Linked DNA regions of Saccharomyces cerevisiae S288C. The gene in region 4 interacts genetically with the main gene of each other region. Each region holds a gene or a part of one and is shown on either strand. Other genes may lie near its edges.

Evidence for each region.
Region 1: mutations in LYS20 (region 4) and MKS1 together harm fitness more than expected from each alone (negative genetic interaction), as found in Saccharomyces cerevisiae (2 studies listed by BioGRID).
Region 2: mutations in LYS20 (region 4) and IDH2 together harm fitness more than expected from each alone (negative genetic interaction), as found in Saccharomyces cerevisiae (3 studies listed by BioGRID).
Region 3: mutations in LYS20 (region 4) and MGR1 together harm fitness more than expected from each alone (negative genetic interaction), as found in Saccharomyces cerevisiae (2 studies listed by BioGRID).

The regions. Positions count from the first base shown.
Region 1 is NC_001146.8:481,557-486,439, forward strand, and holds MKS1 (Mks1p), read left to right. Parts: upstream 1-1,999; coding exon 2,000-3,754; downstream 3,755-4,883. Other genes in the region: APJ1 (Apj1p), read left to right, coding at 1-1,421; snoRNA-binding rRNA-processing protein IMP4, read left to right, coding at 4,051-4,883. UniProt on the Saccharomyces cerevisiae protein: Negative regulator of Ras-cAMP pathway. Involved in transcriptional regulation of galactose-inducible genes.
Region 2 is NC_001147.6:577,500-582,201, forward strand, and holds IDH2 (isocitrate dehydrogenase (NAD(+)) IDH2), read left to right. Parts: upstream 1-2,750; coding exon 2,751-3,860; downstream 3,861-4,702. Other genes in the region: EFT1 (elongation factor 2), read left to right, coding at 1-127; GTPase-activating protein BAG7, read left to right, coding at 1,065-2,294; SIA1 (Sia1p), read right to left, coding at 4,314-4,702. UniProt on the Saccharomyces cerevisiae protein: Performs an essential role in the oxidative function of the citric acid cycle. Also binds RNA; specifically to the 5'-untranslated leaders of mitochondrial mRNAs.
Region 3 is NC_001135.5:46,611-51,367, forward strand, and holds MGR1 (Mgr1p), read right to left. Parts: upstream 1,755-4,757; coding exon 501-1,754; downstream 1-500. Other genes in the region: EMC1 (Emc1p), read right to left, coding at 1-295; protein disulfide isomerase PDI1, read right to left, coding at 2,043-3,611; YCL042W (uncharacterized protein), read left to right, coding at 3,974-4,333; GLK1 (glucokinase), read left to right, coding at 4,228-4,757. UniProt on the Saccharomyces cerevisiae protein: Component of the mitochondrial inner membrane i-AAA protease supercomplex required for mitochondrial inner membrane protein turnover. Together with MGR3, functions in an adapter complex that targets substrates to the i-AAA protease for degradation.
Region 4 is NC_001136.10:131,098-135,909, reverse strand, and holds LYS20 (homocitrate synthase LYS20), read right to left. Parts: upstream 2,474-4,812; coding exon 1,187-2,473; downstream 1-1,186. Other genes in the region: AIT1 (Ait1p), read right to left, coding at 1-14; INH1 (ATPase inhibitor), read right to left, coding at 474-731; MRX19 (Mrx19p), read left to right, coding at 4,077-4,812. UniProt on the Saccharomyces cerevisiae protein: Catalyzes the aldol-type condensation of 2-oxoglutarate with acetyl-CoA to yield homocitrate. Carries out the first step of the alpha-aminoadipate (AAA) lysine biosynthesis pathway.

The DNA.
Region 1 (4,883 bases), on a different chromosome or scaffold from region 4:
AAATACTTAAAGACAATCGTTTAAGAGCTTTGTATGACCAGTACGGTACCACAGATGAAGTCCTGATTCAAGAGCAGCAGGCGCAGGCGCAACGCCAACAAGCCGGGCCGTTCAGTTCATCCTCAAATTTCGATACGGAAGCAATGTCATTCCCGGATCTATCTCCAGGTGATCTTTTCGCGCAGTTTTTTAATAGTTCTGCTACCCCCTCTTCTAATGGCTCCAAAAGCAGTTTTAATTTTAGCTTCAATAATAGCTCTACGCCGAGCTTCTCCTTTGTTAATGGCAGTGGCGTGAACAATCTGTACTCCTCGTCAGCAAAATACAACTCCAACGATGAGGACCATCATTTGGATAGAGGCCCTGATATCAAACATAATCTAAAGTGCACATTGAAGGAACTCTACATGGGTAAGACTGCAAAGTTGGGTTTGAATAGGACAAGGATTTGCAGTGTTTGTGATGGGCACGGTGGTCTAAAGAAATGCACTTGTAAAACATGCAAAGGGCAAGGTATTCAAACCCAAACTAGGCGTATGGGACCTCTAGTACAAAGTTGGTCTCAAACTTGTGCAGATTGCGGGGGTGCCGGGGTTTTTGTCAAAAATAAAGATATTTGCCAACAGTGCCAAGGTCTTGGCTTCATTAAGGAGAGGAAGATTCTACAAGTCACCGTTCAACCGGGATCGTGTCATAACCAACTTATAGTACTTACGGGCGAAGGTGACGAAGTTATTAGTACTAAGGGAGGCGGTCACGAAAAGGTAATACCTGGTGACGTCGTTATCACCATTTTACGTTTAAAAGATCCGAATTTCCAGGTTATCAACTACTCCAATTTGATATGTAAGAAGTGCAAAATCGACTTCATGACCAGTTTATGTGGAGGCGTAGTTTATATTGAAGGGCACCCTAGCGGTAAGTTGATCAAACTTGATATTATACCTGGCGAGATACTGAAGCCTGGTTGTTTCAAGACTGTTGAGGACATGGGGATGCCCAAGTTTATCAACGGTGTTCGGAGCGGTTTCGGTCATCTATATGTCAAATTCGATGTGACGTATCCAGAGAGACTGGAACCTGAAAATGCTAAGAAAATACAAAATATTCTGGCTAATGATAAATACATTAAAGCAGAACGTTCCACCATGGAAACCGCAGATTCAGACTGCTATTGCGATTTGGAGAAGTCATATGACAGTGTGGAAGAGCATGTGTTAAGTAGCTTTGAGGCCCCTAATTTAAACAATGAAGTTATTGAAGACGACGACCTTGGTGATTTGATTAATGAAAGAGATTCTCGGAAAAGGAACAACCGTCGATTCGACGAAAGTAATATTAATAATAATAATGAAACGAAACGAAATAAATATTCTTCACCGGTAAGCGGTTTTTATGACCATGATATTAATGGATATTGAAGGTTATATAGTCATGCAGTAATGTTATACATTTTCTATTTTTATTTTTTGTATCAGTACTCTATCTATAAGGACATTCCTTTTTTTAAGCAATGCGGAAAGATACGCTATTCTTCCTGTGGATGGTTTACCGCGGTTTGGGTGGTAATATCATTGCAGCCCTAGTCCTTTAGCAGTTTTTTTAGCGTGTAATACATTGTTATTCATCTTTTTCTTAGTGCCTGCCAAGAGATCGTGGGAGGTTACTTAACAGAAAAGCAAAAAAAAAAACCGATTAGAATGTGCATGCCGTTGTTACAGAGAAGCAAGGGAAGTTCACCACTGATCATATTTCTAAGTTCATCAAAATATCGTTTTGGTTTCAGCAGTAGGGATCTTTAACCCAAGTGTTCATTTTCTTTCCTTTTTGCTTTTTATTTGAATGATCTGAACAAAAGGAGAAACATATACTGTACTATTGCGTGAAAACGAACAGAGCACAACCCTCAAGAAAAAAGAGAACTACCCCTTAGTTCCATCTCATTTACTTAAGCAACACTTCCTAATTATTCTCTAATCCTAATAAAAAAAAAGAACTGATGTCGCGGGAGGCATTTGATGTACCGAATATAGGTACTAACAAGTTTTTAAAAGTCACACCTAATTTATTTACCCCAGAGCGATTGAATTTATTTGATGATGTCGAACTATATCTTACGTTAATAAAAGCATCCAAATGTGTCGAGCAGGGAGAAAGGCTGCACAATATAAGTTGGAGAATTCTGAATAAAGCTGTTCTAAAGGAGCATAATATTAATCGATCTAAAAAAAGAGACGGCGTGAAGAACATATATTATGTGTTAAATCCAAACAACAAACAGCCAATAAAGCCAAAGCAGGCAGCAGTAAAGCAGCCACCATTACAAAAGGCCAATTTGCCTCCCACAACGGCAAAACAGAACGTTTTAACTCGGCCAATGACATCACCAGCTATCGCACAGGGTGCTCACGATAGATCCTTGGATAATCCTAATTCTACAAACAATGATGTGAAAAATGACGTTGCTCCAAACAGACAATTCTCCAAATCTACTACGTCAGGGTTGTTTTCAAATTTTGCAGACAAATATCAAAAAATGAAAAATGTGAACCATGTTGCTAATAAGGAAGAACCACAAACTATTATCACTGGTTTTGATACAAGCACTGTTATAACCAAGAAACCTTTACAATCAAGACGCTCAAGATCACCTTTCCAGCATATAGGAGACATGAACATGAACTGCATTGATAATGAGACTTCCAAGAGTACCAGTCCTACTCTTGAAAATATGGGAAGTAGAAAATCCTCTTTTCCTCAGAAGGAATCTTTATTCGGAAGGCCAAGGTCTTACAAGAATGACCAAAATGGTCAACTGTCACTTTCGAAAACATCCTCTAGAAAAGGAAAAAACAAGATATTTTTCAGCAGTGAAGATGAAGATTCCGATTGGGACAGCGTTTCGAATGATTCAGAATTCTACGCTGATGAAGATGATGAAGAGTACGATGATTATAATGAGGAAGAAGCAGATCAGTACTATAGAAGACAATGGGACAAGCTTTTATTTGCCAAAAATCAACAGAATCTTGACTCAACGAAATCATCTGTTTCATCAGCGAACACAATCAACTCAAACACATCCCATGATCCCGTACGAAAAAGTTTACTCAGTGGACTATTCCTTAGTGAGGCAAATAGCAACAGTAATAACCACAATACTGCACATAGTGAATACGCTTCTAAACACGTTTCGCCGACTCCTCAGTCCTCTCATAGTAATATCGGTCCTCAACCGCAGCAAAATCCACCGAGCGCTAATGGTATAAAACAACAAAAACCTTCTTTGAAAACAAGCAACGTGACAGCTCTAGCATCGCTATCTCCCCCGCAACCATCCAACAATGAGCGGTTATCGATGGATATACAAAAGGACTTCAAAACTGATAATGAGTCCAATCATTTATATGAATCTAATGCTCCGCTAACTGCTCAAACTATACTGCCCACCGCCTTATCTACTCACATGTTTTTGCCAAATAACATTCACCAACAACGAATGGCGATTGCCACTGGTAGTAATACGCGACATCGTTTTTCGAGGCGGCAGTCGATGGATATCCCATCCAAGAACAGGAATACTGGGTTTTTGAAGACCAGAATGGAGATCTCTGAGGAAGAAAAGATGGTACGTACAATATCACGGCTTGACAATACGAGTATTGCAAACAGTAATGGAAATGGTAATGATGACACCTCTAATCAGAGAACGGAAGCACTGGGGCGTAAGACGAGTAATGGAGGGCGAATATGATTACTAAGTTAAATAAATCAGATACAGTATTTAAAGTTCTTTCAAAAAAAGATAATGTCATATATTTTACTATCTACGCAGTGAAAGAGTTCCTTCTAATGACACACTATTCACTTCGGGTAACGGATATTGTGTACTGAAAAATATAAAAAATTTTATCCCGGAAATGCGATGAGATGAAAATGCATGAAGTAGCGTATATATTGATTGCATGAGGTTGGACTTGAAAGGGCATATATACTCGGTTTTATCATTGATTCAAGTGTTCCCATAAATAATAAAACAGTTAAATCGAAATGCTAAGAAGACAAGCCCGTGAAAGGAGAGAATATCTATACAGAAAAGCGCAAGAATTACAAGATTCTCAACTGCAACAAAAACGTCAAATAATTAAACAAGCGCTAGCTCAGGGGAAGCCATTGCCAAAGGAACTAGCAGAAGATGAGAGTTTACAAAAGGATTTCAGATATGACCAAAGTTTAAAGGAGAGCGAAGAAGCAGATGATCTACAGGTTGATGATGAATATGCTGCCACAAGTGGTATAATGGATCCAAGAATCATCGTCACAACATCTCGTGACCCAAGCACTCGTCTCTCGCAATTTGCCAAAGAAATTAAACTGCTATTTCCAAATGCTGTCAGGCTGAACAGAGGTAATTATGTGATGCCAAATCTAGTGGATGCTTGTAAAAAATCCGGTACTACAGATTTGGTGGTATTACATGAACATAGAGGTGTTCCAACTTCTTTGACCATATCACATTTTCCACATGGACCCACTGCACAGTTTAGTTTACACAATGTTGTTATGAGACATGATATTATAAATGCTGGTAACCAAAGCGAAGTGAATCCACATCTAATATTTGATAACTTTACTACCGCTTTAGGGAAAAGAGTAGTCTGTATTTTAAAGCACTTGTTCAATGCGGGGCCCAAAAAAGATTCCGAAAGAGTAATCACTTTTGCGAATAGGGGTGATTTCATTAGCGTTAGACAGCATGTATATGTGAGAACAAGAGAGGGAGTAGAGATTGCCGAAGTTGGTCCTAGATTTGAGATGAGGTTGTTTGAACTGAGGTTGGGAACTTTAGAAAATAAGGACGCTGATGTTGAGTGGCAGTTGAG
Region 2 (4,702 bases), on a different chromosome or scaffold from region 4:
GTCCACTTTAGGTTCTGACCCATTGGACCCAACCTCTAAGGCTGGTGAAATTGTTCTTGCTGCTCGTAAGAGACACGGTATGAAGGAAGAAGTTCCAGGCTGGCAAGAATATTACGACAAATTGTAAGAAGTCTAAATGAGAAAAGGTGGTTCTGTAAGAGCAAACCTTACCGCCTTATGATCTTTTTCATTTATTCTCTGCTTTAAAATTTTGTCGTAATAAAAATAGTATGGTAATAGACTTATATATTATTTTCTTACACATTTTTGTCATATAGTTATATTCCGAATGTTTACAATCGAACCCATCATAAAAATGGACCTTTTCGTATTACCGCCCCCTTTGTAGAGGGGGAGGAACGGCAACTTCTTGACTATTACGACGTATCACCACCCCGTTAGATATACTATGGAAAAAACTATTAAAAACCATTATAATTCATTAATGACATCGGTCCTGAGGTAGTATTACGTATAACTTACCTGGCTCTTGGTCATAGCTTTTTATCCGTTTACGAAAAAAGGAGAAGAAGATTGGGCTTCCGCGGCTATTGTTTGGTTTATACCCCGCCGTATGTTGGTGCTTCTATAATTAGAGCGAAATAGGAAATACAAAAAATCCTTGGAGGGGAGGACCAGCCTCATCGGGCTAAAACTCCCTCAAAACCGGAGGGGCAACCAAAGTATATATCTCATTATGGCCGATACTTCTAGAGGCGCACTAACAGAAGCACCTCAGCCCCTGCAGGTGAAAGAAAGAGGTAATTAATTTTCCGGTTACTTACTTTCTCTCGCTATTGGGGAAAGCGTTGGTTCGAGGCGTTGAGGTCGAAGACAATCATTGTTTTCTTCTTATTTAAGTACATCTTTAGAAGAAAATTACACAACTGGAATGAGTAAATCAATACTTGCTTTGTGTTCCCATTGTTAGATACTCTTGTTTTAGCATGTGATAGCAGTATATAATATAACCTGCAAAATAATCGAAACGCGTACACAGGAAAGAGTACATAAATAACCATAGTATATTTCTGGACATATCTTATTACACAACATAAAATAGAATGTTTAACATGAATCTACTTTCTACACCTTCTTCTGAAGAGGGTTCTCCACAGAATAGGTCATCTTCAATGTCTTCTGTTGAGGGCAAGAAGGATAGGGACACCTTTACTAATTTGCAAAACGAATTTGATGGTAAAGTATTTGGCGTCTCACTCGAGGAATCACTGAAAGTTGCTCAAGAGGAAGTAATTATCCAAAAAAGTACAAATGAAATTGGTTCCATACCGGTGGTAATAGCAAAAAGTGGGAAATACCTAAAAGAGAATGCATTAGACACAACAGGAATTTTCCGTATTGCGGGAAGCAATAAACGTGTTAGAGAGCTACAAGCTGTTTTCTCTAAACCGCCCGATTATGGTCGTAAATTTGAAGGATGGTGTGATTTCAATGTTCATGACATTGCAACTTTATTAAAAAGATATTTGAACTCATTAAGTGAGCCTTTGGTTCCCCTAGCATTATACGACATTTTTAGAAATCCAATATTAGAAAACCCAAAAATAAATGAGCACAAAGAACAAATCATTAAGGACTACGAAGATATTTATATGCTCTTACCACAACAAAATCGCCATTTAATACTTTATTTAGCCGCGCTCTTGAATTTATTTGCAAGAAATGAAAAGAAGAATTTAATGTCAGCAAGCAATTTAGCGGCCATCGTACAACCCTCACTTTTGTCTCATCCCAAGGATGAAATGTGCCCGAAAGAGTATGAGGCTTCCAGAACTGTCATCGAATTCCTCATACTACACGCTTCAGATATAATACCGAATACGGAAAAAGCGAATAAGGACACCATGCCGCATGCAGGAACAGTAGCAAAGTTTAACAACATTACCGTTCCTGAAATGGCTATTGACTCCGATGAAGAAGATTTTGTGCACCCTTCAATAGATGACCATATGCTTCCAAGGTCACGTGCACTTTCTGACTCCAACAATTTTACCATACATCATCATCATCATCATCATCATGCACTGTTTCCTAGCCCAATAGATTTTGATAACAATGGGCTTTCTGTACCGAGATCCTTTAAAGGTAGAACATTGAGTGCAGAGTCCCTTTCTCCCAGACTTAGTAAATTACTTGGGAACGTTGGAAACAGCAGCAATACTGGCATCAAAGACCCTACAGAAAGAGTTCCTAGAGGTGAACATAAAACCAAACACAAACAACGACAGTCATGGTTGAGAAGACTCACTAGCCCTTCTAGAACGCAGCCTTAGCTTCCTAAGCACTGTGATCTGCTAGTCGATTCCGAGGTTCGGCGAAGAAATTGTCGTTGCCCCGCCAGGGGCCTTTTGCGATACTCGGCGCTTCTTTCAGCAATCTCGGTCCGCATCTCGGCAAGGGGGGGCATGACACGGGCCGCTCTGGTTGGTCAGTTCCTATTTTCTGTAACTTCCATTGTTTGGTTAAAGAATATATAAGTTATTGAAAAGCTCATAGGTCCCTTATTATAGGCCCTAAGGTTTTAGTTTCTCATCATAGTCATATCAGAAAAACCCTCCTTCTAAAGTTTTCCTCTTTTCTTATTTCTTTTTCATTTATTATTCATATTTATATAAATATATATTCCAAGTGCATGACATTATTGGATACACTTTTTCTGAACCTGAATTACCTTGGTAGATAATAAGATACAGATCGGGAACGAACAACAATTATAATATTTTTTAATAATGTTGAGAAATACTTTTTTTAGAAACACCTCGAGGAGGTTTTTGGCTACTGTAAAGCAACCTTCAATCGGAAGATATACCGGCAAACCTAACCCTTCTACCGGCAAATACACGGTCTCGTTCATTGAAGGTGATGGTATCGGACCTGAAATTTCCAAGTCTGTAAAGAAAATCTTTAGTGCAGCAAACGTCCCCATAGAATGGGAATCTTGTGATGTTAGCCCTATCTTTGTCAACGGATTAACGACCATTCCTGACCCTGCCGTACAATCTATCACAAAAAACCTGGTTGCACTAAAAGGTCCACTAGCTACACCTATTGGTAAAGGTCACAGATCTTTGAATTTGACATTGAGAAAAACATTTGGGTTATTTGCCAACGTTCGTCCCGCAAAGTCTATTGAAGGTTTTAAGACCACTTACGAAAACGTTGATTTAGTTCTTATCAGAGAGAATACCGAAGGTGAATATTCTGGTATCGAACACATAGTTTGCCCTGGCGTTGTTCAATCTATTAAACTGATCACAAGAGATGCCTCTGAGCGAGTCATTAGATACGCTTTTGAATATGCAAGAGCCATCGGCAGACCAAGAGTTATTGTGGTACATAAATCTACTATCCAGAGATTAGCTGATGGTTTATTCGTTAATGTTGCCAAAGAACTATCCAAAGAGTATCCTGACCTTACTTTAGAAACTGAACTTATTGATAACAGTGTGTTAAAGGTGGTCACCAACCCATCTGCTTACACAGACGCTGTTTCTGTTTGTCCAAATCTATACGGTGATATCTTGTCCGACTTGAACTCTGGTTTGAGCGCCGGTTCTTTAGGTTTAACTCCATCTGCCAATATTGGTCATAAAATCTCGATCTTTGAAGCTGTCCATGGCTCTGCCCCTGATATTGCCGGTCAAGATAAAGCGAATCCAACTGCCCTACTTTTATCTTCAGTAATGATGTTAAACCACATGGGTCTAACGAATCATGCTGACCAAATTCAAAATGCAGTATTGTCTACTATCGCATCAGGTCCAGAAAACAGAACAGGTGACTTGGCTGGTACTGCTACTACTTCATCATTCACTGAAGCAGTCATCAAGAGATTATAAAAGTCCTATTCTTTTCCCTCTCAGGTTTTTTCACGCCTTGAAAACAAATGACTATCCGTTTAATATAATGATTTCTGAAAGATTATGAAGTAAAAAAAAGCAAAATGCTTAGATATATAATATATACATACAATAAAAATTCCGTATCTACTCCAAACTTCTATGGCTTTGTCCTCAATGTGTTCTGATGTTTATTTAATAGCCTGAAGTTTTTATTAAGTATGTATACTTTTCGATATTTATTCTTTTAATAATGCTACAGGAGACCATAAGTGATAACTCAAAATGTCCCTCAGTGGACTTGTAAACCAAAAAAAAAAAAAAAGAAAAAGAATTAAATATATTATGTGTAAAAAGAAAACACCACCGTGTGTTATGTATATTTTGTTTATGTCTATCTATCATCTATCCTGCTGGCAGTCAATGTTCACCTTACAAAATTAATCATTGAAATTATTGCTTCCCCTTATAGATGTACTGATAATCGTAAACCTCGTCAACAAGATTGCTATTCCTCTTCCACGAAGTTATTTCGTCCAAAATATCATCCAAGTTAAATAATCTAACGGTTGGATATATACCTTGGATTCTCGGCAAGCCTATACCAGCGGACCCACCGTAACATAACCACATCTCATTTTTTGACTGTAAGCAACAGTCATTATTATGTTCATGTCCGCAACTGACACCCTTTATATTCCAAAGACTCAGGATATCAAGGAAGCTTTTGTAATGTTTGCCATTGATCGTCATTGAAACTTGTCCTCTAGACCTTGGCGTATCTACTGTTAAGGTAGACCTCTCATTATACTGCCCAATAATAGGAAATAAACCATGAGGCC
Region 3 (4,757 bases), on a different chromosome or scaffold from region 4:
GGTCATTACTATCCAGTTGAATCTCATCAATGGTAAAGGGTAAAACGTTTCTGAAAAGAATCTGTCCGGAAGAAACGTTAAACGAAGAAACTAAGCAGGAAGTTTCGGTAGGGTTCGATAAGATGAGAACCCTGTTGCGGTCTCGAGAATCAGGGATGACTTTCTCCCAAGGACCTAAGTTAGCCAGTTGCCAATCAGTGATAAATGCATCATCTGAAAAAACGGCTTGGACACAACTCGTGTTTAGGAAGAGTAAAATGAAGACGTACACCAAGTCTGTACACGTTATCTTCATTGCTATGGGGGAAGGGGAGGATGAAAGTGTTGATATGAATGTAGGTATTAGTTATTAATGGAGTGTATATATATATATGTTATTATATATTTGCATATATAATATGAAATCCCAGCCATATTTTCTCTGGTAGCCGTCTGAAAAATCACGGTGTACGAAGAAGGATTTAATATACGCACGGTACAACTAAGCAATCCGCAAAGACCTAATGTGTCTTTTCATTAGTGAGAGCCTTGGGGGTAGGCCCTGGTAACGGCTGGTCCGTGCTAGTGGGTGTCTTGGTATGGGAGGGCATGGTAGTTGGTATGAATTTGATGCTTAGCGAAGTTTCTAAGGCCAAAGTCATCCATGGATCATAAAGCGATCTTATTGTATCGAGATCAATATCTTGCGGGCCTTTCGTGTCATGGGGCAAAATGACACCTCGGGAGAGTGTGGTGCTGGATCTCTTCTTTACTGGTGCGGAAATGGAATCTCCCGAAGATGCTAAGAAATGCAGTCTTTTTTCCACATTTTGTAGATGGAGTTTTTTGGACTCGGAAAGACCTTCAAGGCCAGTAGAAGAAGACTGCGGATTGTGGGATATGGAATTGATGAGTTCAATGGAATTTTCTCTAATGTTTCTTTTATTTTGAAAAAACTCGAACATGTCCAAGTGAAATTCCATGCGATTGAGGTACTCGTTGAAAGACATGGGCTTGTATTCCAAGGGTCCGAACCATTTAATAATGGGATTCTGCGCCTCAACTTGCGCTCTAGCGAGAGCGACGCTTTGTTTGACCTCAGGGATATTTGTCGAGAGAGGAGTACCGTTCATAGCATCCTTGACTTTTATTTTGGTGGGGTCTATGCCCTCGTGATAATATTTGACAATATTGTTGAAAAACTTCTTGTCACGTACGGATTTCATTTCGTCGCACCAGGGGTCGTATTTAAGAAAGTTCAGGCGAGTAAGCTCCAACAGTGACTGAGAAAGTAGCAAAGAGCCAAACAACCCCCATAAGAGCTTTCTGACGCTGACGAATCGAGATTGGCGAGGTATGATGGGAGGAGGGGCGAGCACAATGTCACCATGGGTGGTGGAGAAGCGGTTCAAAGTTGGAAAGTCAGCAATATCCTTTTTGATTTTAGTCTTGCCATTGACAATCATTTCACTGGGTAGTTCGCCAAAGGATAAATCCGAGTGAGTGCCAGTGGCAATGCGGCGCGGTGGCGGTAGTTTGTAGAGCCTTCTCAGTCTCCAAAGGGCAAAGAAACCCACTGCAGATTGGATAGTGATTAGAGTGTATAGTCCCGGTAGGTTATCAGGAGCGGGTACGAGCGGACCCCACAGTTTTAAGCCTAAACTTGGCCTTATGTAGAATTTCTTGATATCATTATCATCTTTGTCGTGGTCATCTTGTGTGTGAGTATGGTCGGTGGAATTGCTATTACCTGATGGAGGAGTAAATACAGCCATCTTTTATTACGGTAATTGGAAAAGGAGAGGGAATGGAGGAGGATGAGATAAGTAGTTTCCTAAGCAGTAAAGCAAGTGTCCACATTTAAGTAAAAGACGATGCCATGCACTTATTATTACTACGTGGTCAATTTTCTCTTTCCCTAAGGCGTTCGTGCAGTGTGACGAATATAGCGAACAACTATTGTGTTTGAATTTTAACGTTTATCTTTTTATGATTTTTTTAAAAAAACTTCCTAGAAAATTTCTTATATATCTCTATTTAATGAAAAACCAAAGTGATCAGAATTACAATTCATCGTGAATGGCATCTTCTTCGTCAGCCAATTCAGCGTCAGCATCGGCTTCCTCAGCAGCTTTTTCCTGGGCTTCTTCGTACAAGGCCTTACCGTCGACGTCGAAGTGACCGTTTTCCTTGATGAAGTCGAATAAAGAGTCCAAGGATCTTGAACCTTGGTACACAACAGATTCGGACTTCTTACCACCTGGGTATAAGACGATTGTTGGGTAACCTTCAATTACGACGCCTCTGACATCGTTTTCAGTGTGGTCTAGTTTAGCAATCAAAACGTCGGATGTGGCGTTGGCGTAGGTATCAGCTAGTTCTTGGTAAGTTGGGGCCAATCTCTTACAGTGACCACACCATGGGGCATAGTACAAAACAAGAACGTCCTTCTTTGGGTCGTTGACGATTTCGTCATGGTTCTTACCGACCAATTGGAAGACAGAGGAATCTTGGTTCTCGAAGATCTCTTGGGACTTCACGATTGGGGAGGCATCACCTTTCAAGAAGTCCTTAACCAAAGATTCAATAGCCTTAGACTCCAACACGATCTTGTCGCTCAATTCGTCAAACGCCTCTTCAGAGAGTTGAGGCAAACCGTACTTCAAGTCTTCAGTCATGTCGTGGATGGCAAATAGAGGGAATTGTTCCTTCATGTTCAAGTTGCCGGCGTGTCTGCCGAATTTTCTGGCATCGATGCTAACAAAGTTCATTAGACCTCTGTTCTTTTTGGCCAACTCGGTAAAGAGAGGCTTGTATTCTTCCAATTCTTCCTCGTCATTGTAGAATAAGTAACCCAAAGGCAAACCGCTTTCGACGTATTGGGCGAAAACGGAACCGTCGATTTCACCAAAGTAGGGCAAGGCTTCCACTTGCAACCATTTTTCAAAAACATCAGCGTCAGCGATATCGGCTTTCTTACCGTTGTATACTACAGGCTCGTCCATGGCGGAGGGCAAGTAAATAGAAAGCTTGAAATCATCGTCTGCGTTTTCAGCGGAGACAAAGTCGTAGTCGTTGAAGTGTTTGTTGGCCATGGAGTAAAAGGTGGCGTTGAAGTCGGCGTCAATCTTACCGGATTGGACGATAACTGGAGTGACAAAAGTCTCGTTAGCAAGGTAAGCTGGTAGATCAGCAACAACGGCGACAGCCGGTTGGCTTTGCTTGATCATGAATTGGACAATGGCCTCGGCAGTTCTAGGTCCCTCGTAATCGATCGAGTTGTTAACATCGCTGTTTTTGAAAATCTTCAAGCTTGGGAACCCTGGAATGTTGTGTTCCATACACAGATCCTGGTTTTCAGTACAGTCGATCTGGGCCAAGGTAATGTTTTTCTCAACTAAAGTCTCGGCGGCTTTAACGTATTCAGGAGCCATGTTCTTACAGTGGCCACACCATGGAGCAAAAAACTCCGCAAGCACCAAGTCGTGCGACTGAATGTACTCATTGAAGGAGTCGGTGGCCAACTTAACGACAGCGGAGTCTTCAGGGGCCACAGCCTCTTGTTGGGCGAAAACAGAGGAGGCGAGCAGCAGGGAGGACCATGACAGGACGGCACCAGCAGAAAACTTCATAACGGGATAGATGTATGTTTTTCTTTATGTAGAGCTTGGCAGCTTTAAAATTACCAATTAGACATGCTGCTTGCAACAAGAAAATGCACGCGTAACAAAATATATATATATATATATATATATATGTATGTCCATACGGGTTTTTCGTTTTGTTGTGGTTGTAACAGCACAACAAAATGCTACACGGTGGCAAATTGGAAAAAGAGACTAGTGAGAGAAAAGGGAAAAAGAGGCGCCGCCCGACAGGGTAACATATTATCACGTGCAGCCCAGGATAATTTTCAGGACACGTGTTTCGAAAGGTTTGTCGCTCCGAAAAAATCAAAAAAAACAAAAAACGGGAAATAACAATAACGACAAAAATGGAAAAAAAAAAAATTTTAGACGCGGCGCTTGCACCCCGCATTATAAGTGGTGTGCCGACGGACGGTCAACCCCTTTCAGGGGGCCCCCTATCTTGGGCGTGGTGTCACACCACGCTCAAACGGTGGGCACTAATGAAAACGCGCCCATATAAATATCCGCTATCAACAGAACCCCCAACCCCCCCATCAGTGCCCAACTCAGCTTCCGTAAACCACAACACCACCACTAATACAACTCTATCATACACAAGATGTCATTCGACGACTTACACAAAGCCACTGAGAGAGCGGTCATCCAGGCCGTGGACCAGATCTGCGACGATTTCGAGGTTACCCCCGAGAAGCTGGACGAATTAACTGCTTACTTCATCGAACAAATGGAAAAAGGTCTAGCTCCACCAAAGGAAGGCCACACATTGGCCTCGGACAAAGGTCTTCCTATGATTCCGGCGTTCGTCACCGGGTCACCCAACGGGACGGAGCGCGGTGTTTTACTAGCCGCCGACCTGGGTGGTACCAATTTCCGTATATGTTCTGTTAACTTGCATGGAGATCATACTTTCTCCATGGAGCAAATGAAGTCCAAGATTCCCGATGATTTGCTAGACGATGAGAACGTCACATCTGACGACCTGTTTGGGTTTCTAGCACGTCGTACACTGGCCTTTATGAAGAAGTATCACCCGGACGAGTTGGCCAAGGGTAAAGACGCCAAGCCCATGAAACTGGGGTTCACTTTCTCATACCCTGTAGACCAGACCTCTCTAAACTCCGGGACATT
Region 4 (4,812 bases):
TTTAATCGGACCATATTCAGATATATTTCACAGGTATCTTTCTTTTGTGTAAAGAATACGAGGTATGATTTAAAACGTCAAAGAATGGAAGAGAAATTTTGAATGCGAAGAGATGCTAAGTATATTCTTGGTGTTAGGCTAAGCTTGTTGAAACAAAAAAGAAGGAATTTTGAAATTTCGTATCTTAAGTATGGACTATTGACGTTATTTGGAACTTTTCCATGTTCCACACTGTTCCTATCTTTCTATGCCTTTCCGCATTGGGACGAACTTTGCGCGAAGTGGAAATAATGAGTGACATTAGTCAGACAGACAAGAGGAAAATTCAAACCAGAGGAAAACTAGAATGATAGTTATCGAAAATGCAAAAGCTCAGTGTGATGTATTATTATATAGTTTTTCTGCTGTTTGACTATAAAAGAGTAAGAATATTCTAAAAAAAAAAAAAAAAAAGCTTCTGCGGAAACGCATGATTATTTGGTCATCGAGTCAATTTTATTTTCCAAAGAATCAATCTTCTTTCGTTGTTTTTCCAGTTGTTCTTTCAAATGGCGTAGTTGCTCCTTCTCACGCTGCCTAACGAAGAAGTCTTCCGTGGCCCTTTCCCTTTTAACAAACGAATCCTCTGAGCCTGACCCTCTTGGGGTGCCGGTAGAACCTTCAGAGTAGAACCTTGCGGCCACACCGCGCTGTAATTGCAATGAGCGTGCTAATGCTGAACGTGGTAACATATTCTATTGTGGAACTGTATAAAAGTGTGCTGTAGTAATGCGTGTAAAATGCACTCCTTTGGGATAGCAAAAACAAATTCAACCACGAACAAATTCAAAGAAAGTTTTAAACAAGATACAACAAGTCAAGTTATGAACCCCTCCTTCTCTAACGATTGTTAACGCCTTTTCTAGCCCCAAAACCTCGTTGCAGTGGAAAACGATGGGTGTCAGCAACTAGACAGTTGATTGGCATAATTGTGAATATCTGGATATTTGGTACCCGCAGCAGCCTCCCCTTATTCTGCCGCGAATGCGCGCGTCTGATTGGCCCGGCATCACGGGAGAGTAAATCTTCTTCTTTTAATGCGTATCGGACAAAGTAGATGGGAAAAAACATCATTTAGATATGTAGATGTAGATGCTATATATCGTATGTAATAAGTGAAAGAACATAATGTAATGGTTTGGGAACGTTAGGCGGATGGCTTAGTCCGCTTGGCGGCGGGGATGGTGGCCAGTTCCGGTACATCGCTGTCATTCTTCTTGTTCTTTTTTGCAGATAGTACTTGAGGAGTGCTGACCTCTGCGTGGAAGTTCTTGATGATAGAGTCAACATCATCGATATTCAGCGATCTGACATCACCCAGCTTCTTAATCTTAGCAGTAACTTCCTTGATTTGGTCATCCGTCAAGTTCAAGTTCAACTGGTCGACTCTGGCTTTGATGGCGTTCCAGCCAGTTAGTCTGTTGGCGAAGTGGATATACCTCTTCATACCGAAATCGTGAGGGTCCAAGATTTCGTAGGTAGATGGGTTAGCCAAAATGGCCTTGGCATGGATACCTGCTTTATGTGTGAATGCACAGAACCCGGTGATAGGGTTGTTGAATGGAATGTTAACTTCCACAGCATCAGCGACCAGGTTTTCAATGTCTCTGATCTTGTGCAACTTGTATTTGGACTTGACATAGTCTGGTGCGGCAACAATCATTCTTGCCATGAGCCCACCTAGAGGAGTGATACCGTTTCTTTCACCAATACCCAGTACACTGACGTCAATCAATCTGGCACCACCTTCCAAAGCAGTGTAGGCGTTTGCAATGGCACAACCAGTATCGTTGTGGAAATGGCATTCGATGTCACATGAAACAACACTCTTCAAAGTTCTGATCAGTTCATATACTTGTCTTGGGTTGGCACATCCAACTGTGTCGGCAATACCGACTCTATTTACACCGATCTTGTCAACGGTTTTATAAATGTTCAAAAGATCAACGAGATCACTTCTGAAGGAATCTTCAGAGGAAAATCTGATTTCAATACCTTTGGATTTGACAAATTCAATGACTTCAACAGCACTCTTGGCGATGTAGTTCATATCCTTACCGTGGGAATATTGTCTTAAAAATTTGGAGGTGCCGATAACGACATCGACACCGTCGACACCAGTCTCTACGGCGACTTTGGCGTCATCCATATGACAACGAATGTGTGTAAGGATCTTGGCCTTTAAACCTAGTTTACATATAGCTTCACAGTCCTTTCTTGATTGTTCAGATGCTACTGGTGAGGTTAACTCGATGTAGTCCACACCGAAATCGTCCAAGGCTCTAGCAATTTCGATCTTTTTTTCAGTATCGAAGAATGCGTTGGCAAATTGTTCACCTTCTCTCAGCGTCGAATCGATTAACTGGAAATTATTTACATTAGAAAGATAGTCGCCCGGTTTGGCAGCATATGGATTTGGTTTAGCAGCAGTCATCTTTAGGAAAACAATACAGGGTCCTTCCTTTGTTTGTTATGTAGATAAGAAACAAGAATAAACTAAACGGGAACATATCAAATACACTTTATCGATAAGCAGCCAATATCATTTATATATATCATCATCGGGTATTTAAGCAGGTGTAAAAAATGGCCAGCGATGAGGCCCTTAAAACTTGGTAATAATATTACTCACGCATCATCGTCAGCAAGAACCTAAAGCGCAAATTAAATTATTGCCTATTGCTCTAATGTCGTCGTCGTCCACTACCGAAGAGAAAATTCCCCAGCAATTTTGGTCATATTTTTCAACCATGAATAAGGGATAGTGGGACAAGGCCAGGCCATTGTGACATTACTCATTTTTTTGCCACTTGCAACGCTAGTAACGCCGTATCCACAGAGAAACCGGGAGTGGCGCGAAGAGATCTTTTTTTTCTTTTACTACGTGTGATCCTCTAAAGAATTCTTTTTCTCAACCTAGCAAAGTAACCCACGCTTAAACTTCCTTGCAGAGAGTTCCCGTCGGAATTTGTTTTTTTCTTACTAAAACTACGCAATATTCCGGCGGAATTTGACGCAGACGTAACATCAGTCATCAGTTAATTTAGAATAACGATGAGCCAGCTGATCGGGTACTGTGGACGGAGTTTATAAGGAAGAGAAAATGCTGAGTGCATTAGTCATAAGAGAGGAGCGTGATCTGTAATTCCCTCTGCCTGTGCGGATCACTTCCTACAATTTATTTTGTAAAAGAGAGCACGTCTGTAGTTTCAAACAAAATCACCAACTGTGCTTTGTTCGAATACCCAGGGAACTGTTTGTTCGTCGAATCGAGATAATAGCAAACAAGAGTCTCGGTTGAGTAAACGCTCATAGACAAGAAACTAGGAACATGGCTAAAATCTTGCATCGATGTAACATTAATATAAATAGTTTGCAGCAACCGATTTACACAAAAACTGAATCTCAAGCGCACGCAGTATACCAAATTTGGTTCCTAGAGTTTTTTATATGGGCGGCTAACCTTGGAGAGATCAAAAAAGTGTACTTAACTACGAATGACATTTTAGAGGGTTTCAAGCGTATTATAATGAGATAATCTTTCAGCTGGTAGCAATTATGGTCTAATAATTTTTCGTTTATTCGGCCCTCAACCATTTGTTGAGCTTATACCGATTTAGAGCCCATAAAACGTCGTGATAATCCGCAACTTCCACGCTACCACTTTCCACCATCTATCAAAAAAAATAAGAAAATTACCATGTGTAACAGCTCCTTCCATAATTTGAAGCAGGCTGTGTTTATTCAGTTCTTCGTTTGTTTTTCTTACTTCAACGCTCCTTGTTCGATAGCTTTATTTTCTTGTTTTTCCTCCACTTTTGGATGGATGGACTTGACGGCTGTCTCCGCCGGGGAGTAAGCATCGGGCATTGTGCCAAGATAGTATCTAAAGGGTGTGCTATCTGGCACAGTTTCAGTTACTAGTTAGCCATGAAATTTTTCCTTTTCAACGTAGCAGTATCCATATCATTGCTCTTCATCGATAGAATCATTTTATCACAATACCAAAACTTCATCCGGTGTATTTTAGATTAAAGATGATACGTTCAATATTTATACCGCCAACTAGTATAACTGCCACTTCTCGACTGTTCTACGGAATGAGGGCGTATTCAACAAAACTTGAAAAGGCTTCACTCCAAAAATATCTGCATGATCCTGTTAAAGTGACTGTGATACCAATAACGGACAAAGAATCATTCATTTACTATAAGCATACCGATAATCTCTTTAATAGTCAGTCTAGAATATTAAAAGCAGAAAAGTGGATCGTTGAGAAATCAGCAAAGCTTTGGAGAAAACTGAAAAAGTCCCCTAAATCGTATAATAAAAAAATAGTGTCCATGGTGCAGTCTCTGTTAAATAGCACACCCTGGTCAGAAAATAGTCTGTTAACCATACCAAGTGAAAGCTATATATTGAAGAGAATTAAGGGAGAGAAAGATAAGACCCAAGAGATTCGACTCACATTGAAAGATTATACCGTAAAGGCAGAACAGGTCGATACTCAACCCTTACACGTGTATTATCCCCCTGGAATTTCTAGCCCTGATGAGTGCTTGAGACAAATGAAAAAGCTCTACCAAGAAGGCTTAATTTATCACAAAAAATGGACTTTATATTGCCTTTTAGGTCTCCCGCTGACAATTCCTCTAATTTTAATACCGCTTATACCAAATGTTCCAGGGTTCTACCTATCTTATAGAGCTTATGTTAATATCAAAGCTTACCTTGGTGCTAAGCACTTGAAGAGTCTACTGGAAAGTTCAAAAC